Linked DNA regions of Neurospora crassa OR74A. The protein of the gene in region 1 interacts with the protein of each later gene in a pairwise test. Links are inferred from orthologs where the notes say so. Each region holds a gene or a part of one and is shown in the gene's direction. Other genes may lie near its edges.

Region 1 (4,082 bases):
ACAACAAGCACGTCTCCGGCGCCGACTTCGGGCATCCGTGCCTCGGGGCGGAAGATGACGAGCTCAACTCCGGCCGATTCATCTTCAATGGACAGGTCAGATATGGTCAGGGTGCACTTCCAGTCCGATCCGTGTGTCGCGACGGGTGCTCGGCAGTCCTTAAGAACACCAATGACATTGACCATGGACCCGGGCTGGGCATCACCGTCATCGTCGAGAATGGCTCGTAGGGGTGTGAGCGTTGACGGAAAAAGTGGTGGCTTTGCCTTGGCCGCCGGTTTCCTGTCTCTGAGCGGGCGCATCATCTGGATATCCCAACTCTCCGTTCCGATTACATGGCGGCGGATGAGTATGTGGATGAAACACCACCAGCGGTTGGTCGTGATACTTACCAACCGTTGTAGGGCAACTTGGGGACTTCAGTGTTATACGTCGTACATTACGCGTTCACTTTACGCGTCTTGAAAGCGGAAATGGCACCTGCCCAATCGCCAAGTTTGCGCGACCGCATGTGCAGGGCAAGGGTCTTGGCCGCCCGTCGGGCCAGACCATCAGACTTGAAGCGCTGTGCTTTCAGCAAGCCTTGCAGGGCTACGGTAATGGTTAGACGCATGGTCTGTGCTTTCTCTTACCTACCCAGTATAGTCATGAGGGGTCGGGGACTCCCGAACAGGACCTTGCAGGCCAGCCTCCCAACACAACCTAAAGCCTGGAGGTAGCAAAGACGTATCTACCTAGCTCAGACGGTGGGAGGTTGAGAGCGGCCTTTTGACGTCGTTCTTTCAAGTAACTGAAACATGTCGTAGTCATTCAGGGAAACGAAAAGCTTGCGGCTCGACGGACGCGGCCTGAGGTCGATGAAGTTATGACGGGCAGTGTGTAACCTGCAAACAATCCATGACGTTCACAAGCAAAATGGAAGGAATGAGAAGAATGCCTGGAGGGTCCAGCCGCTCTGAGGTGGGGCCACCCAATGGTGGACAAGTTCCTGCACTCCAAGAACAGCGGACAAGTTACAAAGCTGCTCATGTGGCCTGTGCTCGAGCTTGGCTCTTCCATCCCCACTTTCAGAAGCCAAACTCTTTTCGCTACAGTTGGTGCCAGCATTGGGCGCTGTGGGCAGTGACTGGGCCACCTTCAGGCCTGAGGGGCAGCTGTGACTGAGTGGCAGGCAGGGCACAGTGACTGCCTGCACTTGGACTTCACTTTCGTGGAGGTGGAAAGTGCTGGTAGAGGAGGGGACAAGCCGCCGCCGCATTCTTGTTTCCGCTTTCTGCTCGAGGCGCGGGCGAACTCCCAAATTCTTTCATCGTCGCTCCTCAAAAAACACACAACTCGCCTGCCCCATCCATCCCCAAAACCCAATCCTTCTCTGACGTTTTCCGTCTCGCCGACAACGCACCCATACTTTTCTCCGTCCCATTCAGGATTGCTTTGGCAGGACCGTATCAACCGGGCTCTTCCAATTCTCCGGCTTTTCTTGATCGCATATACCTCCCTTTGAACGGCTCGCAGCAACTTCGTCGCCGGGGCTTCATCGATTGCATCGCCCCTCGTTTGCCGCCTTCATATCACACCTCCATCACCCATCCGTCTAGACACCGTCGTCTCGACATCGCGTCGCAACCATGGCTGACCGATACATTCCCGAGCATCGTCGCACCCAGTTCAAGGCCAAGAGTGCTTTCAAGCCCGATGAGCTTCGTCGCCGTCGTGAGGAACAGCAGGTCGAAATTCGCAAGGCGAAGCGCGAGGAGAACTTGGCCAAGAGGCGCGGTATTGGTGCTGGCGACTCGCGGCCTGGAGCTTCCCTTGGTGCCGCCCCCGACAGTGACGATGAGAACCCTCCCACCGAGTCTCAGGTATGCAAACCTCTATCTTACTCCCCTTACATGATCGGCCACAATTTTGCTACTGCGTCCGTCCATCGCCTCTCCCTTCTCTCCCCCACGTGTACCCCGCCGATGATGGTGATGCTTGAGCCACAAACCCCCAGGCAGTGCCGAACCTGCATTCAAGCTGCGCGCGCAAACTCGAACATTGTACAAACGAAAACCACCCCACATTCCGTCACGTCCCCGATCTTTGTTATAGTTGATCTCCACATGCTAACCCAGTTGTCATAGTTGAGCGAGGACCTTCCCAAGATGGTCGAGGGTGTCTTCTCCAGTGAGATCGATAAGCAAATTCAGGCGACCACTAAGTTCAGAAAGCTGCTCAGCAAGGAGCGCAACCCTCCCATTGAGGAGGTTATCAAGACCGGCGTCGTTGGTCGCTTCGTCGAGTTCCTCCGCTCCCCCCACACCCTGGTCCAGTTCGAGGCCGCTTGGGCCCTTACCAACATTGCTTCGGGCTCTGCCACTCAAACCCAGGTTGTCATCGAAGCTGGTGCTGTTCCCATCTTCGTCGAGCTTCTCGGAAGCCCCGAGCCTGATGTGCGTGAACAGGCTGTTTGGGCTCTCGGCAATATTGCTGGCGATAGCCCTCAATGCCGTGATTACGTTCTAAGCTGCGGTGCTCTGCGTCCTTTGTTGACCCTCCTTGGTGATAGCCGCAAACTTAGCATGCTCAGGAATGCTACCTGGACTCTTAGTAACTTCTGCCGTGGCAAGACTCCTCAGCCCGACTGGAACACGGTTAGTTCTCTCGATCACGAACAATCTAGTATGTCTACTGATCCATCATAGATCGCCCCTGCTTTGCCAGTTCTCGCCAAGCTCGTCTACTCGCTCGACGACGAGGTTCTTATTGACGCTTGCTGGGCCATCTCCTACCTCTCGGATGGATCCAACGACAAAATCCAGGCGGTTATTGAGGCTGGCATTCCCAGGCGTCTTGTTGAGCTCCTCATGCATGCTTCCACCTCTGTCCAGACGCCCGCGCTTCGATCCGTTGGCAACATTGTGACGGGAGACGATGTTCAGACCCAGGTTATCATTAACTGCGGTGCCCTTCCCTGCCTCCTGTCGCTTCTGAGCTCCAACAAGGATGGCATCCGCAAGGAGGCTTGCTGGACCATCAGCAACATTACTGCTGGAAACTCGGCTCAGATCCAATCTGTCATTGACGCCAACATCATCCCTCCTTTGATCCACCTTCTCTCCCATGCCGACCTCAAGACTCGTAAGGAGGCCTGCTGGGCTATCAGCAACGCGACTTCGGGTGGTCTCCAGAAGCCCGATCAGATCAGATACTTGGTTGCTCAAGGCTGCATCAAGCCGCTCTGCGACCTTCTGGCTTGCCCTGACAACAAGATTATCCAGGTTGCCCTGGATGGTCTTGAGAATATTCTCAAGGTTGGCGAGCTCGACAAGAACGCCGCTGGCGATGGCCCTGACTCGATCAACCGTTATGCCCTATTTATCGAGGAATGCGGAGGAATGGAGAAGATTCACGACTGCCAGACGAACGCCAACGAGGAGATCTACATGAAGGCGTACAACATCATTGAAAAGTACTTCTCCGACGAGGACGAGGCCGGTGATGAGGCCATGGGCGCTCAGCAGCAGTTTGGATTCGGTGCTTCCGGTGGTGCCCAGCAGGGTGGCTTCAACTTCGGTGCTAACGGCACCGAGTCGATGGACATGTAAAATGCTGTACAATCCGTCTAGTTCTTTTTACGAAGGGGATGGTTGGGTTAAAGATTGGGATGAGGGGACCCAGATGTGATGTTGATCACGGCACCATCTGGGAAATCCTACCATAAACATCTTACCCCATCAGCCTTTCGGCTCCCCCATACGAGTTCATTCGCCCAAACACAAGTCACAACACGGCAGAACTATATTGCTTCAATCTCATAGTGCCCCCTCACGCTTATTCACCACACCATACCCCTTGAATTGGCGTTATCAAAGTTATGTTTAAAAGAGAAAGGCGAGGATAAGTAGACGCACATGGAGGCCGATTGGTCCTTTGGTGCGAAAGCTCGAACCTGATGAGGACACGATGATGCGTTTTATGATGAAGGGAGAGTAAATCAAAGGGTCTGAATGGTAGCTTGAAAGCTCCAACCCTATAGCCATGTTCGGACGCGCAGTGATCAAGCCAAGGAGAAGGGAGCGGGAGCCTCGGGGCCGATG
Region 2 (4,390 bases), on another chromosome or scaffold:
TGGTAGGACCGACGGTCCAGAACTTGGGCTTGAAGGGGGCCGTCTCTCCAGAGGTGAGGTGGGACGTGTCGGGCAGCATACAGACGTGGACTGTGTGAGAGGTCAGGACGGCCAACTGGTCCTTGTTAGGGGAGATGACCAGCTGCCGGATCTCGCTGGCGACAGGGGTCTTGATGACCTAGAAGAGGAAAACCATGTCAGTACCCAATGTGGCCATCTTGGATGCGCCGTATGCGCCGAGTCTCGGGGATTTGTAGCCACATACCCTGTAGCCTGGTCCCTGGGGAAGACGGCTTGTCTCCTCATCGTAAACCTCAAAGGAGCTATCGGAGCTATCTCCGTTGAGGTGGCTTGCGGAGCCGGTCCGTGACTGTTGGGCCTCCCAGGCGTCTTTGAGATCGGCAAGATCTCCCCATCTGATTTCCCTTCCTCTGGCAACAAAGACCTCGTTTCCTCGGTGTGCGATGGTGCGATTGGGTCCCTGACTGGCGTTCCTGGAGGAAGCTATCGAAGCGGGGAGCCGGTTGGTTTCCTCGGCCTGCTCAAAGAGCTTATGGCCGGGGTTTGGCTCCTGGAGCCAGGGCGCCGAGAAGCTCCGGATTTTGGGCATCCCGACTGTGCTTGGTGGTTTTGTGCTAAGAGCTGTCTGTTGTCGCTATACTATCCAACTCGAGCCTGATGAATCCTACAGATGACGGTGGTTCGTGTGGCGCAATGAAAACCGAAGTTGGTGTCTGGCTAGGCAGAAATAGTAGCTTGTGTTGAGGTCCTGCTATGTCCTAGCATGCACGGGCCGGTTTTTGTCGTCGTGCTGCACTTCGCTTTCTCTGCTGAAGTAATGTATGTAGGTGGGGAGGTAATTGGCTATGTAGGTAGGCAGGCGCACTATGGTCGAGGTACGTATGTATTTGATGTACCGGTACTATTAATGTGATGGCGGTTCTCGGTTTTTGAAGATGAAAAAAAAAAAAAAAAAAGGTGATCAAGAGCAAGTAGAACAGAAGCCAAGGGAGGGAAGACAAGGAGAGAGATTGGGATCCCTTTTTGAAGTGGCAGGCCCCTCGATCGATCCCATGGGAGAAAAAGCCAGGAAAGCGAAGTTTGCTAGTGGTCTCGGTTGGCTGGTCAGGATGGTAACAACAAGGTTTGACTAGCGTGTAGTGCTACGGACCTGATGGATGCCCGTGGATGGACGAGTGCTGGATGCCACTATTGTCCAGTCCGAGCCAGTGCTGTAAATGAGGCGTCCAGGGCGTCACTAGAGGCGTCCGCTTCCGTGCCTATGCCGTATATTTTCCGTTGCTTGCCTTGATCGATCGTGTTAGCTTCATTTTAGCGCGTTTCCACTCCTTCCACAGCCCTTTAGTCCGTTTCAACTGTCCGCCGGTGTTCAGTCCAGACCGTGCTCGCCGCCTCGTCTCACACCATCGGTCATTGATCAACAGGAGACAGGCAGGCCGCCCGGGATGAGAGGGGATGGAATGGCCGAATGGAGGTCTTAACGGAGACCTAGCTGTATACATACTATAAATGGTAAGCCCGAGGTAGGTACAGTTGTGCTGTGACGCGCCTGTAAATTGGGTGCCAGATTGCGGTCCAATCGGCTGGCAATGGTTGTTGGATCAACGACAAAGCGCCTCCACCAAGTCCTCCTGCCCTTGCTTCCATCGCTCTGCCCTTGCCTGCCGTCGTCATATTTGCGGGCACCTCGTAAGATAGGGTACCTGACCCACCACCAACGGCTTCCGTCGCCCGTTACAGTGCCAAGACTACCTGGATTGCCATGCAGTGATGTCCGATGCACTGTGACACTGTGCGCCAACAGGACTAAGTGTAACTGACCTGAGCTGAACTGAACTGTGAACGAAGCCTGCAGTGCTGCTGTCGCGGTACACGGGCACACCAGTCGCGCTCAGAAAGTAGCTGCGCCTGTACTTCCACTTTAGCGGGCAACCTAAGTTACCTCTTAGGTAGGTCCAATTCCATTGGCAAGGGAAACCACTGCATCATCCCCATCGACGTCTCAGAACTCCAAACCATTGAACTTCCACTTGGGCTGACAGCTTTTGATTTTCCTTCTTCTTCGCAGTTGCAGGGCACCTTTCACCCAAGAGCAGATAATCCATCTTCACTACCAGGTAACCATGTTGAACACTCGCCAAAGGAGCACCGTAGAGCGCCTTGACAGGCCAAGTGCATACTTTTTCAACAAGGTGAGTGCTCCTGACGGCATTTCCATGCCCAAACATTGCCAATCTCTCCTGTCCATAATTAGCACCCCGTCGACCGCTGACCCATCCACTCAACACAGAATAGGCGCAACAGACGTCACGACCGGGACCACCGCGATGGAGAAAACGAAGACAGTAACATGCATCCCGAAGCGTTCGATGACCCGTTGAAGGATGCGACCACGCTCTACGTCGGCAATCTGCAAGTTTGCCCCACGCTGCCAGTCCTTAATTAAAAAAATCAAAAAAAAATCAAAAGAAACAAGAACTAACCGAATGTACCTCGGCAGTTCCTTCTACACTACCGAAGAACAGGTTTACGAACTCTTTAGCAAATGCGGCGAGATCAAGCGCTTGGTCATGGGCCTCGATCGCTTACAAAAGACACCGTGCGGTTTCTGCTTCGTCGAATACTACACCCATCAGGACGCTCTCGATTGCATGAAGTACATTGGCGGCACCAAGTTGGACGAGCGCATCATCCGAACCGATCTCGACCCAGGCTTCGAGGAAGGGCGACAGTACGGCCGTGGAAAGTCGGGCGGCCAAGTTCGTGATGAGTACCGTGAGGACTACGACGAGGGCCGCGGTGGTCTTGGCCGGCAAATCCAGGCCGAGAGAATGAGGGAGCATGACCACAAGCGCTACGACGATAACGACGAACAATACGGCCGCTTGCGCTAGAGTTGTCATTGCATGGGAGTTACGTGGGACAATGAGGGAGTGCATCATGATCCAGTGCACAGATATTCAACCAGTCGTCATGACAAATCGACACAAAATATGCAAGCCGGCTCTGAAATTACGAATTTTGTTCATTCAGGGCAAGTGGAGGCGGAACAGAGAAGCGTAAAAGACAAATACCCCCTTGGAAGACATGATATTCGTTGTTGTATTGGTATCTTGCTATGGTATTTCGGGAAATTATTGATTTCCCATCCATTCGGTATGGCTCCACACATTCTTCTGTGATGCTCGCCTGGCCGTGTTTGCGCTGCTCTCTGCAGTGGTATCTCAACATGGAGCGAGCAGGAGTGTCCATGATGGACAGGACCTCCAAGTCAGTCAGTCTCTTTGCGAGACGAGACAGGAGGCCTCCTCTTCTTTGCCCCAAGCAAACGGTCCTGTTAGCGGTATCTCCAATGTCACCCATGCCATTTCGCTGCGTAATGTTACAAGTGATATACATGCTTGCACGATATCGTCCATCGTCCGGGTCGAAGGTCTTAGTAACCGGGAGGGTTGACTCTCTGGGACACACGGGTCCACTTGGGAAGCTCTGGAAAAGGAATGCCGTATTAGCCTTGGTCTTTGACTGCTGTGAAGTGATGCACAAGGGTGGCCCGTACTGTGGATGCCCTTGCGGTACCTCTTCTCCTTGCGGTCGAAGATGGTGTACTTGTCCTTGGGCAGCATCTCGGCCTCGGTGGGCATCTCAGCCCTCCAGCGTTCCACCGCCTTGACGGTCTCACCCTTCTTGGCAAGAGCGTTCTCAATGGTGGCGACGACGTTGTCAACGGCCCTCAGTCTGCGGCGCTGCCTGAGCTTCTGGAACTTGGACATGCGCCATGGGATCTTCCTGTTTGCCGCGACATGATTAGCATTTCCGGTAGAACCTTTGGCGCAACTGCAACATAGGGTAGTCGCTTACCAAAGAAGACCCCCGGAGAGGGGGTTGGTGAATCTGAAAGCCCCAAACATTGTGGTGGTGGTGGTGGATGTTTGGGGGGGGAGAGCTGCAACCGGTTCGCTTCGTCAGGATGGGTCCCGAAGGTATCGCGGGAATCGGCGCGGGCGGGCGGTCGTCGTCCAAAGTCCAAACAGTCCCGTCCAAAAAAAATCGCGGGTCCGTTCGCCAACCCCAACCCCGAAAGAACACCAGCTCGAGAGCGGATGCCAAGACCCAGTCTCAGATAGTAGGCCTGGATTCGCCCCTGTAAGGTCCACTGTTCAGCCTCGTGGAGCCCCCATCTTTCTGTAAAATTCCCCGGTTCTGTCTTTTCCATTTGTTCCCACGGAACAGCTCACCCCGCTGTCCGCGCACTGTCCGCGGCAGATGGACACACGGGTGCACCTGCAGCATTAGCGTCGTCCGTCACCGAAGGAACCTCCAGCTCCAACAACCACGCCCGCCCGCCGAACTGGCTGCTGTACCTACG
Region 3 (5,413 bases), on another chromosome or scaffold:
ACAAAATCCGATTATTGCAAAGAATAACCAGAGTGCAACAAGTCCCAAAGAACTGGAAAGGTGGTGGAACAAACTGAAGTTTGGTTGGCGGCTGCAATGAAGCTGCTACCTCGAGGTACGGTTGATGTACCTTTCAAAAGAATGAGGGGAGGAAGGGGGGGGGAGGGGGAAGAAGAATCGTTAGACAATGTTGAATTGAGCAACAAAAAAGTCCAAGATCCTGACCGGAGGGAGATCGGTACTTCTCCGTCACTTGTTGCTTGCTCTGCTCGAGATGAGGACCGAGGCGGAGTGGGTGTCCGGGTTGCCCTCTTGATAGGCAGGTAGGTATGGGAAATAATAAAAACTTCCAAAAAAAATTGGGAAGGACCAGGGGACCTCTCTCACTGGGTTGGACGATGCAGTGCCAGTAACACGGGCCACACCCGCTTTTGTGTCTTTCCCCAAGACGATCCAATCCGGGCGTCGCTTCTTTCGCGCTGCACGACGACCCCCTTTTTTCTTCACGATGGAACATTTTCCCACTTCCATTGACGACGGTTCGCCCAAGACACTGGAGATCTAAAAGACATTACTATGCTCGATTTGGGCTACGCTATGTGCACCGATCCATATCTTTTGCTTCAACCACCAACGATATTTCAACACGCCGTCCTCGCGCAATGGCCTTGGGCCCGAATGTTGGGTAAGGTAGAGCGAGGTCGCTTCACCGCCTAGGTTCCATTCACCACCTGCACTGTACCATCGCGACTAGTGACATGCCACTAAGTACGGGGCAACAGTCCACAACCTCTTCTCTTCTCTTGTGTTCTCACCATCCGGCGCATGGCTACCGTACAAATACGTGCTCGCCGTTTGGATCATTGTTTGATTGATGGGATCAAGCCAGCGTCATCAGCTTTGTCTTTGAACATGTTGCGCCGGCTATATGCGATGCTCGATACGATGTGCAGTGGCTTGAGGGGACAGAGCGTGCATGTGGGAACAAGCCGTCCCAACTGGATCGTTCACTTTGACGGCTACGTAATGATTGTACACCACCCCCTTTTCCTATTGTTTTTTTCTTCCCCAACGAACACTTTTCCGGCTTCCAGAAATCTCAAAATGGCAACCTGGCCACAACACAATCATTGGCTGTTCAAAGTTTTTTTTTTTCCTCTCGTGAGCAGCGCCAACTGAGCCAGTCATCACGGGCACCAAACGTTCAAAGACGAAAACCCCGGCACGGCGAATCGACATGATCTCCCAGATCCCTCCCAGCTGGGCAGGTTTGTTTCAATTCCAGCCTCCTCCAGCCTCTCCAGGTTGTTCCCTGAATATCATCACGTTGCAATAACCAGCCCCACCGAAAAAGGCCGAATGGATGTCTGGGCGCAATTTACCCCCCCTAGCCCCCACCATTATAACCGTTATCGTCCGTTATCGCCCGTCAAGCTCGCTTGGACGTGGCATTGCAGAAGGCTCTCGGCTTTTGGACGAGGTCGTGGATCCTGGCGACAAGAATGCTGATGCGGGACCCATGGTTGCTTATCGATACCGGTCATTGCTTATGATGCTTATCAGATGATCTGATTATTTCTTACTGCCCCTCCATCTCCACCATGACTCTACACACATGGAGTAGCGTCGAGTCGCCAAATGCCCCTCCATAACTGGCCGTCTACAATTACTGAACTGATCGTGAACTCCAGCAAAGCCAACGCTTAGTTTGGTGGGAGTTTGGCTAATGTTTTGTGGTGAGAGTGTACGGATGATGGACTTGACAGTTTCTCGGAATTCGGGGTTTCTCTGGCGTTGGGGGGGGCTTTAATATGATAGGTGAGCTGTCGCAATGACCATCTGTTTTCGAGCCGGACTTTGGGAAGCATTGATTCTGGGTTTTGGAACGTAAAACCCCGCCGAAGTGCAGACGTTCGAGCTGCGTTTGTACCCAATGCTACCGAGTCCAAAGTCCCATCACAGCTACAGGGAGCGTTCATAGGCGGAGTTAACACTCGGGGTTCTGTTTCACGCGCTTTGCATTTTCTACAGTACATAAAGGCCGCCCTTCTCCGATATCGTTCTCAGATCACGTCGTACAAAGGCGTTGAGCCCGCATTGATAAAAGAATACCACGTCAACTTCAGCTCGACATAGTTTGCCAGATGCAACCAAGTTGTGAACGAACGACCCCCATCACGGTATGTAAAGCGGAGGTACGGAATTGTTGCGAGCGGAAGCTCATGGGAAGTGCCCCTGGGTTGACTCTTGGAACCCTAACCCTCGTGCATTGACCGTTTGCGCCGATTAGTTGTGATTCTGCGGCGGGCTCAATTGTATACCAAGTATAGGATGCGCACAGGCGCCGTTCCTTGGTACATAGTGTGCGCCGATGAGTGAGGTCCAGTGGCGTTCAGGGACCTTATCGACGCTTGTTTATCCGTCTTATCTGAACTTTCGTTGGGGGCCGTGCCTCCTGTTTCGCCGCCGCTCTCGCTGATTGCGACATCCACCTACGACGGCCATCACCAACCGCCTGATCCTTCTCAAAAGATACTGCAGGGTCGTCTATTGAATAAACACGCCCGAATATCATGGGCTTCCTCGAGTGGCTGATGCCCCCAAGTATCTTCAATGTGTTCCAAACACGCCTGCTAGAAAACGGGCAAGGTGCTCAGCCGGAGCCCGATTTCAGGCCGGCTCTCCTGGTGGTTGACATGCAAGAGGACTTCTGCCCACCGGTAAGCCTCAGGATCTGCTTCCTGCACGTACCTGTACAGAACTCGCAGCAGCATCGATATTTTAGTCTTTTTCTGTGACGTTTTTCACCCATCCTGACTACCCTCACTCGTTATCATTTGAATCCTCGCATTGTTCTGGCCTCTTTTATTGCTTCAAGAAAGCTGGAAGTTGTACTGTGGCGAGAACATACCATTCGTGTCGTCGCCGTGTAAGCCTCATTCTACGGGCAGACAGACCACTTGCAATCTCCCTATGAGCTCAGTGGCTTGCAAAAAATACACAGGCCCATCTCTTTCTTCATCTCATATTAAGTCAAATCACCTCACTCTTCACATCACCACAGTCCGCTCACTTTACCTTGATTTCACACCCACCTTCACCCATACTCAAACACTAACACTGGTCTTGCAAACAGAACGGCACCCTGGCAGTCACCGGCGGCCGCTCCATAACCCCCCTAATCAACACCCTCCTCTCCTCCCCTCTCTTCGTCCTCCGCATCGCCACAAAGGACTGGCACCCGCCCAACCACATCTCCTTCGCCTCCAACCACAACCACGCCTCCTCCCCATCCCCCTGCTGCCCTGACTCCTCCGGAAAAGCCGCCATCCCCTTCCTGTCCACCACCACCGTCCACAACCCCCACAACCCCTCCGAGTCCTACACTACCCGCCTCTGGCCCTCGCACTGCATCGCCGACACCCCCGGCGCTAGCCTCATCCCCGAGCTGGACGTTTCCAAAATCGACCAGATCCTCGAAAAGGGAACCAACCGCCTTGTCGAAATGTACTCGGCCTTTTACGACCCCTTCACCTCACCCCGCGTGAGCGATTCGGGCCTCGCACACATGTTGAGGGAGGCCAAGGTAACGCACGTCTATGTGGTGGGGCTGGCGGCCGATTATTGCGTGTGGAGCACGGCGATGGATGCACATAACGAAGGGTTTGAGACGGTGGTGGTGGAGGAGGCGACGAAGCCTGTTGATGAGGACGGGTGGAGGAGGTGTAAGGAGGCGCTTGTGGGGGAGCCGGGGGTGAGGGTTGTGAGGTGGGAGGGAGAGGAGGTTAGAAGGCTGTTTCCTGGGGGTTTGGTGACAACAACTGTCGGTGCTGGGAATGACGAGGAGGTAGTGGAGGAGGAGGAGGAGGAGGAGAAGATTTGAGGAGGTGGAAGGAAAGGGAGGGAGGAAAATTGAAACTGGAACTGCTGGCGGGGATGGACGAGGTCAGCGGGAAAAGGCTTTGGCTTTTTGTTGTGCTTTTGTAGGCGGGTGAAGAGGTACCTTATATGCAGCGTTGGCTGCTCGGTCGTTCAACGGGAGCATGACAACATGCAGTGCACAGGCATGGCATGGCGGCCATGCTTCAGGGCGGATACTGCGTTGCTTCGGCGCCTGCGTTGCGTTGCGTTGCGTTGCGTTGCGTTGCGTTACGAGCTTTAGATTGTTTATTTGTTTTCATTTTCATTCCACGGCCGATTATAGCTGACTTTGTTTAGGCTTAGCGATGAGCGCTCTTAGCGATACATTCTTGATACCCTTTCAGGAAGATGACGAGCAGATACCGACATGTGTTGTGCAATATCATGGCGATTTGAAGGGGAAGCTTTGCCATGTGTCAGTACACTGCCTAGTATTCGGCATCCCGCTCAACGCGGATTTAAAAAAAAAAAAAAAGAAAAAAAAAAAAAAAAAAAAAACCAAGAGGTACTCGGAGTCTCCCGCCTACTACGGTGTCGAATTCGTGGTTGGACACATGGAGTCAACAAAGTTCCAAGAAGTAAGCGGGCAAAAAGAGACTCCATGCCCTTGTGCGCTCGTGAAACTACACACGAAATGTTGACAAATCGTCTCCCTAACCCTAATGACATGAATGGAATTTACTGTACAAGAAAGTGATAAAGATAAATTGTCATTTCTCATGCAATTCATTAAGGGATGGTATGATTTCCCATTCAAACGGGAGTAAATGTGTGTTCAAGAAACCCACGCCATTCCGACCTTCGTTCCCAAGCGCCAATGCTATGATCCCCGGCCAAACCAATGCCCCTTTTTGATCCCCTTTCGTTCATTTTTTTGTTCTGTTTTACCGGCCAACGCGGATGACGCCAGCAGCGATAAGCTTCTGGATCTTGGTCCTGACGTTGGGGTTCCTCATGTGCTCGGCCAAAGCGGCAGGGTCGGACTGAGCCTGCTGGAGGATGGCCTGCATGACAGGATCGGACATGATACCCATGATCTGAACGCGAATATGTTAGTATATGTTGCAAACAGTGAATCTGGTATTACGATATGACATACCTCAGGATCACGCGCCAGACGCTCCCTTGTCTGCTCCTCGGTCTCGTTCTCGCGAGCCGCATACATGGCGTTGAAGGCCTTCTGCTCCAGCTGCTCAATCTCACGAGCGTTGGCGCCATTGTGGTACTCGGCATCGATCTTGCGGGCTTCGGTGCAGGCGTCAACGCACTTGCTGTACTCGCGCATGCCAAAGTAGATCTGAGCCTTGCGGATGTAAGCACGGATGAACTTGGGGTCCTTCTTGATGGCCGTCTCGCAGTCTTCAAGGGCGCTAGGGAACTCGAGGAGCTTCATGAAAGCAGCAGCACGGTTGCTGTAGCCGCGGGGGTCATCCGGAGCACGCTTGATCATCTCGGAGTAGGCAGCAACGGCGCCGGGCCAGTCCATCTCCTT
Region 4 (4,917 bases), on another chromosome or scaffold:
CCAGCCACATCTACCAAGCAGGATATTATATGTACACATATAGCCAGCCGCTCTTGGATATTCGCCACTCCTACCGTCGCTCACTCAAAGCCCACGTCTATGACTGCTGCCATCGCCACGCCTCTCTCTCTCCAACATGGCATCAAACTCCCTTTGCGCCTGCTCCTTGGCCAGAGCTCTCTCCTGGTCGGTCTCTAAGTAGGAATGCGACAGTCCGTCCTCACGGCCGCCTACGGCAGCCGCACGGCGCTCAGCCCACAAACGGGACTGGGAAGGCTTGGCGTAGATGGCAGCTGTGGGTGCGGTCGTGCTCCCAGGTGCTTGCGCGGGGCCCCCCATTGCTTGCTGTCGGAGTCTGTCCCATGCGGAACCGGAAGATTGGGCGACGGGCGAGCTAACGGTACCCGTTCCTCTGGCGGCTGGTGCTACGGGGGAGGCATCATCGAAGAGGTAATCATCATCGTCATGGCTATAAGTGGATTGTTGTGTTTGCTGCCGCCGCTGCTGCTGCTGCTGCATCTGGTGTTGTTGTTTCTGTTCTTGTTGGTGCTGCTGGATCCGCTGGTAGTATGGTGTTTGCGCGTGCTGTGGTAGTTGCTGTTGATCCTCCTGGTGGTCATGATCCGGCTCGTGCTCAACTGAATAAGCGTCCCTCAGTTCAGGCCTCTCGTGAGTAATGCTATTCGCCTTCATCGCTTGTCCCGCCTCGAGCAGCTTCTGCTTGAATGCCTTGTTCCGCATCAGTGTCGCCGAGAAGACGGTTTCGGCATACGCATCCGCGATCCAGCCGCCGAAAATTCTCCAGGTAACATACCAGGCGGCAATGCGGACGCCTTGCCAGGCCAAAGTAGCCCGGTGTCCGGTAGCGAGGGTGAATCTCTGGCTCGGGAAGATTTCGGGGTTGAAGGATGCCGGTTTTGGCTTCCAGAAAGGGAAGTTGTACTTGTTGTATCCAACAGCCCAGCAGACGCCTGCGCCGAGGGCTATGGCGGGTCGGGCGTACGCATTGGTGACAGATCGCTTGGCGGCGCCGTAGGCGACAAGATCGATATCCTCCCGGTCCAGCGGCTGGTGACCCAATAGGAAGGACGTAGCCATGAGTCTCTGGCCCACGTCCACCTTGTACTGGTCTTGGGTGACGTTGAACAGAGGGGCCCAGAAGGGCAGTTGCGGCAGCGTGTTCCACTTGACGGGCATCTGGTCGACGAGCTTGGTGATGATTTCGTTTCTTTCTCTGATACTCCTAGCTCGGCGGTACTCTTCCCACCAGCTCTTGTCCCAATAGGGCACCGTATGACCACCCTCGAGCTGATGGGGCTCAATCTGCGCCTGCGACGCCCAGTCGCCGCTGTTGTCGTGGGGCATGGTGTCGCGGTTTCAATCGATCGGGGATGGGATCCTTGTTTCGCTGCTTAAGGCGTCGCCCTCTGCAATGTTGTAGCTTCCGTTAAGTCGCGGGATTGTGGTTGAATGGGTTCGCGATGTCGGAAATGGCCGACGGGTTCCAAAGTGCTGGTGGGGAGACGATGATGTCAATTCGAAAGGAGGGACGCAAGCACTAAAGACATGGAAGCTCCAAGGGTTAGACGAAGGGTGCTTGGGCCCTTTGAATGGCCGAAAGGGGCTTGGCATTGGGGAATGCTTTCTGAGCTTGCGTTTCATTCCTCTGCTGTGTAAGGCGGTATTGGGTGGTTCTTATTCAAGCGGATGAAATACAGTTTTGTCATGTATAATGCGACCTCCTGAGCATAAATGTTAAATGCCTGCCCGGCTGGCGCAATCGGTAGCGCGCAAGACTTCTAATCTTGAGGCTGTGGGTTCGATTCCCACGTCGGGCTAAGCTTTATACTCAACTTTTACCTCTATGTTTTCTGAGAACGCCTTTTTTCCGGGATGGATTCCCCTTTTTTCAACTCTTCGGGGGGGTTGTTTTTTTTTTTCTTTTTCTTTATTGGGGGCGGTCCGGATCATCTCAGAATGGAAGATGTCGCTGTGTGATCAGCTAGCCTCTGGCTCACCACGCTCATCCGGACTTTAGGGGCTCGGTCACTTTATCTCCGACCTCTTGTCACTGCTTTGAGCCTAGGACAAACACTGCCATGGTAACCTCTGGCCGTCACACCTCGGTACGATCATGGAGTTAACATGGAAACCTGCAAAGAAATTTGCACTGCTACACGGGCATTACGACTCTGTTCTTGCCCTTGGGTGCGGGGTAGGTGCTGCCTCCCGTCCAGCACAAACAGGATAGTGACGCTGTCCCTCACGGTGGATGTAACCTACCTTGCACCTTCTCTGGTGGTCTTGACTAGAGGTAGGTACTTGGGCTCGTGCAAGTCCCAACCTAAGCTACGCCTGGTAGTATATTATACCCATTTACCGTCATTAAATGCCTTCTTCACAATACCACCGTGATCTCCACCTTCATCTTCATCTTGTACCCAATCCAGCCCTTGTCATTCCTTCACTCTACTCTCCCCTCATCGCCTTCGAGTATCCCTTGACGTCTAGCAACCTACACACACACACACACACACACAGGTCACAACTCACAAGATGCCCGAACTACCCGCCAGCCTCAAGGAGTCTGTCGAGAACTCCAAATGTGAATACCGCCAGCTGGGCAAGAGCGGTCTCCGTGTTTCCGTGCCCATCTTTGGTTGCATGAGCTTCGGTGATCGACGGACGCTGGACTGGGCCATCGAGGAAGATGAGGCTCTCCCGTTACTCAAGGCCGCCTATGACCGTGGCCTGAACACATGGGATACGGCTAATGTTTACTCCAACGGCACATCCGAGATCATTGTCGGAAAGGCCCTCAAGAAATACGCAATTCCGCGCGAGAAGGTAGTCATCCTAACCAAGTGTTGGGGTGCTGTCGGAGAGACTCCCGATCTCCGCTCCTTTTTTTTTCCTTCCCAGATTGCCGCCTCCAAGGACTACGTGAACCAGCATGGCCTGTCGCGGGCCGCCATCTTGAACGCCGTCGAGGCCTCTCTTCGGCGCCTGGATACGCCCTACATCGATCTGCTACAGATTCATCGCTTTGATCCCAACACTCCCATCGAAGAGACCATGAAGGCCTTGCACGACTTGGTGCAGTCCGGCAGGGTGCGCTATATCGGTGCAAGCAGCATGTGGGCTACTCAATTTGCCCAGATGCAGTTCTGCGCCGAGAAGAACGGGTGGACCAAGTTTATCAGCATGCAAAATCAGTACAACTTGCTCTATCGTGAGGAAGAGCGTGAGATGATCCGCTTCTGCAACGACACTGGTGTTGGCTTGATCCCGTGGGCTCCTTTGTGCCGTGGCCACTTGGCCCGCAGACCCGATCAGTTTGGCAGGACCAAGAGGAGTCAAGGAGAGAAGGAGGCCCAGCCTGGGTCGCATGGCACTGTTGAGCCCGATCTAACCATTATCAACCGCGTGGTTGAGATTGCGGATAAGCATGAATGGCCGGTAAGTTTCATAGCCAAGAGAAACCCATCGATATCCGTAGGTATCTTTTGAAGAGGCTTACCTTGCTAACCGTATCTGTAGATCTCCCACGTAGCCTTGGCTTGGATTGCTAAGCGCGTCATCAGTCCAATCATTGGTTTTAGCAGCGTTGAGCGTTTGGAAGAAGCAATCACCGCTAGAGGCAAGGTTTTAACGGTGGAGGAGGAGAAGTATTTGGAGGAGATGTATAAGCCCAAGGCTATCCACGGACACACTTAGTTTGCCTTCCAACCCTGACTGCCTTACTCATGTTGGCATCAGGAAGGTATTGGGTGTAGTAACATCATTAAACAGACTCCTGAATACATTCGGTGGCTCTCGATGTATCTGCCGAGACCACGACATGACCCGATGTCGCCATTCCCTCAGTTCCCCAATTCAACTCATCCTTTATATTGAAAGTTTTCAACCTTGGCTCGCTACACTCGAGGTGGCCAAGGTTCGTAAGTCAGTGGGATGGGCTCCAATCCCAGGCCCAGTGACAGTCGGCTTTGTGAACGGATTCTCTGCTGACTTCAGTCTGGTGTGCAATGAAGTCATGCTCTTGGTGACCCTTGGAGATTTCCAATTCGCGTTCTCGAGCCGGTTCAAAAATGAATGTCGAGTGTGTTCACGTCATCTTGCGCCAGCGTTCCATTTAGCAGATGTTAAACAGGGACTCGGTGCTGGATTACTATGTCACCAGACAGTAATATAATCTGCTCGTTAAGGTTTGACCGATGAAAAGGTGCCGAGGCCTGCTAAGACAAGATCTACGGTCTTGCACGACGCCATATGTGAGGGGTTCGCAAAACGGGGAAGGTATTGCTAGGTCTGTTCACCCATTCCAACATACGGAGAGCTCATTAGGTCAAAAAAGGAGTCCAGGATCTTGCCGTGGCGCTGGCAGCTTGAGTCAAGCATATGCGATTCCACGTATGGGCTTTGTCGGGCCATGGTCTCGATATAATGGCAATATCTTGACCGGGCGTGGAAGTTTTTTTTTTTTTTAGAGATACGCAATAGGCTGCTCAATTGAGGTGTTAATATATGTGGGAAACTTGGTATAAGTTGTGAACACCTTCAGTTTCAGTTACTAACCTCCCAAAAGCGGAGGTAGATGTTCCAGGGTAGTTATAATCCCTACCTGAGTTAGCACCTATAGCTTCGTGTATGTATTGTAGGAGGTATGTAAGCCCTTTAGTGTCGTTTATTCAAGTCCGTCTTTCTGCTAGGCTAGCGTCAAGGTACTCAAGACCAGTTCTTACGGAGAAGCACTACACCCACCCATCACAAATGAATTTGGACCAATTGGTGAATTCACCATTAAATCGATTTCATACGTACTGTACGATATAGTACATTTATCTGTCTTTGGTCCTAGCCAAAATAAAAAGAAAAATTCAAAGAAAAGAAAGCCCGCAAAAAAAGGGGGTTCGG
Region 5 (5,355 bases), about 3.0 Mb from region 1:
GCATGGTCTCGTCTCCCTTGTCGGCTGCTGCTGCTGCTGCATCTCCACCCTCTCCGTTCTCGCCGTTTGTCTGTGCACTGTTTCCTAGCGTCTGCGACTGCTGTTGTCCCTCGCCGCCTGCAAGGTTGTTGTTATTGTTGTTGGAAGCAGCCGCGTGAGGCGTCGCCGGCGGACTAGGCAAATCGGTCTGCTTCTCGCCCGTCTTCTCGATCCACTCCGCTTGCACACGACGTGCGCCCTCGATGATGTCGCCGATGAAGACCTTGGCTACCGCGCGCATGCCAATAACCACGTTTTCGGTAACGGACTGGGAGATGGTTGCGTTGATCAACTGTCACCGTCAAGTCAGCGATGAAAATCCCAAGCATAGCAGATCAGGAACAACGACGAACATACCCTCCTAACACCAGCTTTACTCAAGTTCGCCGCCCTCCAGTTCTCAAAACGATCAAACTGATCCGGGGAAAAGGCATTAATCAGCATTCCCCTCTGCCTATGCTCCTCCTCCTTCTGTTCCTTCGTCAACGTATCCGCCGTAGCCGCCACCTCCGTCGGGCCCTCATCATCATCCTGATCTTCTTGCTGTCCACCTTGGTCCTTCCCGCCCGCAGCACTCTTAGCCCCTCTACCAACCGTCGACCCACCAACCTCACTAGGCGGCGCCGTTCCCGGCTTACCACCAGCCCCAGCACCAACAACACTAGGTGTCTGCTCCCTCGCCTTCTCCGCCTTGCTCTTACGGCCACGCTTCTTCTTAGGCGGACCGGCGGGCACGGTGGGAGCGGCACTGGCGGCTGCGCTGACCACGCTTTGGGCTGTGCCGCTGACGTAGGACATGGCGTCTATGTCGACGGACGGGGAGCGGGCGCCGCCAGGGGCTTCGTCGGGCGGGAAGGAGGTTTGTCGGAGTGGGTGGGCGGAGCCAACGGACATGACGGAACCCTTACGGCGCTTCATGTTGGGCGAGGGGCCAGAGCCGTCGGCGGCGCGTTTCTTAGACAGAGACGAAGTGGTGAGGGATGGGAGGTGTGGTGGGGAGCGAGCACCACCGGGGAAGGAGTAGCTGTTGTGCGGTGGTGAGGCCATGGTGACGGCTTGCTGGGGATGTGATCGTGGGGTGTTGAGGTAGTGAGTGGGTGTTTGCGGATGACGCGGGGCGAGCTAGAATGATGGGTTGGCTGAGCTCGGTGATGGAGCGGAGACCGCTCTGTGACGAATTGATTGTTTGGTGTTGATACGCAAGCGAGGTCGTCAAAACTAGCATTCGGCAGTGGGTAAGGTTTGGTTCGTTGACGACGGAGCGGCCCGTACTTGGTTGTTGGCGGCGAGCTGATGGCGAGTTTGGTTGTTTGTCGAAATGTTGAACAGGAACTTGAAGTTCTTTGTCGCGGTTGACATGCGGTGCTGCGCGGTACGTTACACGTAATTACTGCAATTGCGACCCGTGGTCACGTAGAGTGGGGCATCTGCGTGACCAGCAACGGGCAGCCCGCACCCCCCAGAGCCCAGCTGTCTGAACGTTTCCCTTACCTGTCAATTCTGCAGAAGCTGAGACATCAATACAGCCATGACTTTCACCTGTAGCCTTGAGCCGCTTTGGGTTCGTATTCGCTGTTTTCAACTTTATGCGTGAAACCGTCCTTTGTATAAAGGGAGTCTTTGCCGGACTCAGGAGCGGAGTGTGCAAAATCTAGTAGCACCTAGACATACAGCTTTAATCCTCCAGATTACAGTATCTGACGATTCTAGTGTACTGTACTCTTTGACAAGCCAGTGTCGTGGTAATAAGGTCTTGATCAGGACCCAACTACAGTCTTGCTCGAGACCTCGGCTCAACTTGCTTGGGCGTTTCAAAATCCAATCAATCGGTTTCGATCCATAACCAGACCGTAAATCACCTCTTTGAAAACTCCATGTCCGATATTCATCATATCCATGTGAGGGTTGGGACAATTCGGGATAGATCAGGTCTCGTCAAGTATACCAGGAAGTACCAAGCTAGTGTACATAAGAAACAACACACACAAGTCATCGGCCCGGCCCCGTTGGAAGACACTCTGTGGAACCCTCGGCCGAACCTTAAAAAGGACCCTTTTTTGGGTGTCTTCTTTCCTTGGCAACCGTTGACCCCATCAAGCTTATTTTTCTGCACAATGGAAGTCAGACCATGAATGCACGATGCAGTCGCAGTTCCGCTGGCAGCACCAAGGTCAAAGTGGCCAAAACTCCAAAAGTGAAACAAAACCGAATCGATTCCACACAGAATTGAACCCCGAACAAGCCCGCCCCATTTCGTCCCCAGAATCAGTCCAGAACGCAGGCTTTGCCCTTGCAGAAAAGTTGACGTCAACGGCGATAAGATAAGACTAACAGGCCTGGTTGGGTCTAGCGCGTCTAGATTCCCCAAAACTGTTGGTTTGCCCTCCTGCAATCGGCGCTCAAAATTTCCACTCCTCCGCCTGCCTAGACCAAGTCCCCGGTTTTATTTTCCCCTTCACTTCCCTGGACCGACGAAACATTGGGGTTGCCGCACAAGAGTCAGTCAGGACTTTGCTTGACCACTCACCCACCCATTCATAGCTGTTCGGAATTCATTGCAAGAGTCAGTCAGTCACCCGACTCTCTCGCAATTGATCTTCTGGTCTTTTCTTCGTTTCTTCCCTCTACTACGCAGCCAATTCCTACCGAAACATCATTTTATACCACCCTATTCTTACCACCCATCACCTCCCACGTACTACTTACACATACATACACAATGGCTCAAGAGACGACGCGCGACGGCTCCGACAGCCCCTCGGGCTCCGTCAGTCCCCCCATCGCCAACGGCACCAACAACAAGAAGGACAAGAAGAGCAGCAAGAAGCGCGCCCACTCCAGCGGCGAGAGGCGATCCAGCGTCAGCAAGCCCGCCCGCGACCCCTCGGACAAGCCCGAAGAGTCGCCCTCCAAGAAGAAGAAGAGAAAGACCACCTCCTCCACCGCCGCCGCCGCCGTCCCCTCCACCATCACCGAAGAAGTCTCCCCATCCACCTCCGTGACCCGCTCTCCTTCGCCCGTCATCGACTTTGACGGCCTAAGTCGCCCTTCGCGTGGCACCCGCGAGCGTCTGGAGGAAACCGAAGCCCAAAAGCAGGAGCGCCTCGACAAGATGAAGGGCGCCGTCCGGACCCTGCTCGAATGCATCGGCGAGGACCCGGACCGCGAAGGTCTCCTCGCCACGCCCGAGCGCTACGCCAAGGCCATGCTCTTCCTGACCAAGGGCTACCAGGAGAATGTGCGCGACATTGTCAACGGGGCCATCTTCCAGGAGGGCCACAACGAGATGGTGATTGTCAAGGACATTGAGGTCTTTTCCATGTGCGAGCACCACCTGGTTCCCTTCACGGGCAAGATGCATATCGGGTACATCCCCAGCAACGCGGTGATTGGCATTAGCAAGCTGCCGCGGATTGCGGAGCTGTTTGCGCGCCGGCTGCAGATCCAGGAGCGGTTGACCAAGGAGGTGGCGAATGCCATTATGGAAATCCTCAAGCCGCAGGGTGTCGCGGTCGTCATGGAGAGCAGCCATTTGTGCATGGTCATGAGAGGCGTTCAGAAGACCACGAGCAGTACCATTACCAGCTGTGTGTTGGGGTGCTTTGAGTCGAGGGAGAAGACGAGGCTCGAGTTCTTGAGCTTGATTGGCGTCAACCGCTAAACGTGCTTTCCTAACGAGCAGGTCGTGCTTCCATCGGACATAACCCTTTAGTCGAGCGCGGCCAGGTCTAGCTGGGGACACTGGTTTCAACAAAAGATAAGGGAAGAGGGAAAAGGAAAAGGGAAAAAGGAGGAAAAGTACAAACAGGGAACTGGATCTTTACATACCCACACAGGGATCTGCCTCAACGGCATGCCAATTTTCTTCACATATTTCTTTCAAGCATGCAAACATTTTGCATCAATCTGGCGTTCAAGGGGGGCTTCAACCGGGCAAATTCATATAACAGCGAGGATCTCAACATCAAGGCGGGGGGCGGCGAGAAATCTACTTCTTCAGAAAAAAACACAGTATGGCATGTTTGTCTATATAATCTCTCATTATATCCCCTTTTGGCGTTCGCTATGTTGCTTGCTTCCAACCTTAATGCATCAACATTCCTCTCAGTCCATGCTTAACTTTTTCGGGGGCGATTTGGTTTGGAGGAGAAAGACAACAAGAAAGAGACTGGAAGGGAAGGTCCAACTCTACCATCGCCTGGGTAAATGTAGAGCTTTAGACACAGGTAGATATTTTCAGCTCATAATTTTCAAGGTTCGTCTCATAGGACTGGCATGAGATGGACTTATCACATCCAGCTTTGTCCTTTTTGATCTCGGTATCATATGATCCAACAGCTAACACACCCAATCGCCGAACGCCCAAGAAAACATCGTGTCCATCACAACACCCTCCTCACAACCTTGCCAACCTCCCCCCTCTCCACCGCGTCTACTCTCGCACTCACCACCTTCCACAACTCCTCCGCCACCTCCTCCACGCTCGCGCTCGCATCAATAACATGCAAATCCTCCTCCTCCTGCCTAAACGCATACTCCCTATCAATATGCGGACCGCCCGCAGCCCCAGCCAGTGGCGTCGGCGCTCCAACCGCCACCTCTTCCATCTCCGTTGGTCCTTCGGCAAGCATGACCGCTTCCCTCTTATTCACCTCCTCCCCACCCCGTTTCTTCTCACCCCCCGTCCCAGCACCACCCAAGGCCGAAACACCACCAACCGGCACCGTCACCGTCCCCACCCTCCCCAGCGACAATCCCCAGAACAACTCCCTTACTCGGCGCTGCATCTCGGCTTTCTCGTAGAGCTCGTGGCCCCACCCGCCGCGCAAGCGCGCTTGTTCTTCGTCGAGGTCGAGGAAGAGGACCAGGTCGGGACGCGGGAGACCGATTTCGGGGGCGCGCGCCCAGGATAAGGAGAGGGAAGGGTTTTGTTTGGCGGCCGAGTAGACGATGCCCGAGTGGTAGTAGCGGTCGAGAATGAGGGTGGTGCCTTGGGATAGTTCCGAGGTGATTTTCTTTCTGGTTAATTGAAAAGAACTTGTTAGTCTGTCTGTCTGTCTGTCTGTTTGTATATGTACCACCCCAATCCAAAAGAGGGGAAAAAAGAAAAAAAAAAAGAAAAAAAAAGAAAACATACACAGCCTCCCATCGATTGGCACTAAACAGCAAGTGAATAACATGATCGTCCATTTGCGCCTGCGACTTGAGGTACGAATCGATCATCTGGCCTATGGGCGTGGTTCGGTCGGGAAATCGCATGGTCTTGACTTTTTTCCCGGCTTTCAGAAAGCGGTCCTCCAAAAGCTTGACTTGGGT

The links.
Region 2: the proteins of NCU01249 (region 1) and NCU00210 interact in binary tests that used the Saccharomyces cerevisiae proteins (3 or more experiments, as listed by UniProt). The link is inferred for Neurospora crassa OR74A from reciprocal best matches to the Saccharomyces cerevisiae genes SRP1 and CBC2.
Region 3: the proteins of NCU01249 (region 1) and nic-8 interact in a two-hybrid assay, tested with the Saccharomyces cerevisiae proteins (2 studies listed by BioGRID). The link is inferred for Neurospora crassa OR74A from reciprocal best matches to the Saccharomyces cerevisiae genes SRP1 and PNC1.
Region 4: the proteins of NCU01249 (region 1) and NCU06009 interact in a two-hybrid assay, tested with the Saccharomyces cerevisiae proteins (2 studies listed by BioGRID). The link is inferred for Neurospora crassa OR74A from reciprocal best matches to the Saccharomyces cerevisiae genes SRP1 and YPL088W.
Region 5: the proteins of NCU01249 (region 1) and gch-1 interact in a two-hybrid assay, tested with the Saccharomyces cerevisiae proteins (2 studies listed by BioGRID). The link is inferred for Neurospora crassa OR74A from reciprocal best matches to the Saccharomyces cerevisiae genes SRP1 and FOL2.

Annotation. Positions count from the first base shown.
Region 1 is NC_026505.1:3,366,479-3,370,560, forward strand, and holds the start of NCU01249 (importin alpha subunit), read left to right. Parts: upstream 1-1,282; 5' UTR 1,283-1,628; coding exon 1,629-1,862; intron 1,863-2,126; coding exon 2,127-2,636; intron 2,637-2,687; coding exon 2,688-3,590; 3' UTR 3,591-4,082. Other genes in the region: NCU01248 (hypothetical protein), read right to left, coding at 1-305. UniProt on the Saccharomyces cerevisiae protein: Functions in nuclear protein import as an adapter protein for importin beta nuclear receptors. Binds specifically and directly to substrates containing either a simple or bipartite NLS motif. Promotes docking of import substrates to the nuclear envelope.
Region 2 is NC_026503.1:3,018,076-3,022,465, forward strand, and holds NCU00210 (nuclear cap binding protein subunit 2), read left to right. Parts: upstream 1-1,953; 5' UTR 1,954-2,144; coding exon 2,145-2,213; intron 2,214-2,311; coding exon 2,312-2,433; intron 2,434-2,521; coding exon 2,522-2,915; 3' UTR 2,916-3,396; downstream 3,397-4,390. Other genes in the region: NCU00209 (hypothetical protein), read right to left, coding at 1-178, 266-610; NCU00211 (mitochondrial ribosomal protein subunit L31), read right to left, coding at 3,458-3,510, 3,581-3,810, 3,883-3,932.
Region 3 is NC_026501.1:7,459,684-7,465,096, reverse strand, and holds nic-8 (isochorismatase family hydrolase), read left to right. Parts: upstream 1-2,229; 5' UTR 2,230-2,573; coding exon 2,574-2,720; intron 2,721-3,136; coding exon 3,137-3,883; 3' UTR 3,884-4,419; downstream 4,420-5,413. Other genes in the region: NCU00714 (heat shock protein STI1), read right to left, coding at 4,806-4,958, 5,021-5,413. UniProt on the Saccharomyces cerevisiae protein: Catalyzes the deamidation of nicotinamide, an early step in the NAD(+) salvage pathway. Positively regulates SIR2-mediated silencing and longevity by preventing the accumulation of intracellular nicotinamide, an inhibitor of SIR2, during times of stress.
Region 4 is NC_026506.1:3,101,545-3,106,461, reverse strand, and holds NCU06009 (oxidoreductase), read left to right. Parts: upstream 1-2,293; 5' UTR 2,294-2,556; coding exon 2,557-3,459; intron 3,460-3,540; coding exon 3,541-3,717; 3' UTR 3,718-3,923; downstream 3,924-4,917. Other genes in the region: NCU06008 (hypothetical protein), read right to left, coding at 85-1,365. UniProt on the Saccharomyces cerevisiae protein: Putative aryl-alcohol dehydrogenase.
Region 5 is NC_026505.1:348,681-354,035, forward strand, and holds gch-1 (GTP cyclohydrolase 1), read left to right. Parts: upstream 1-2,220; 5' UTR 2,221-2,758; coding exon 2,759-3,700; 3' UTR 3,701-4,361; downstream 4,362-5,355. Other genes in the region: NCU07775 (hypothetical protein), read right to left, coding at 1-331, 397-1,086; NCU07773 (thymidylate kinase), read right to left, coding at 4,422-5,058, 5,177-5,355. UniProt on the Saccharomyces cerevisiae protein: GTP cyclohydrolase 1 is the first enzyme in the biosynthetic pathway leading to folic acid.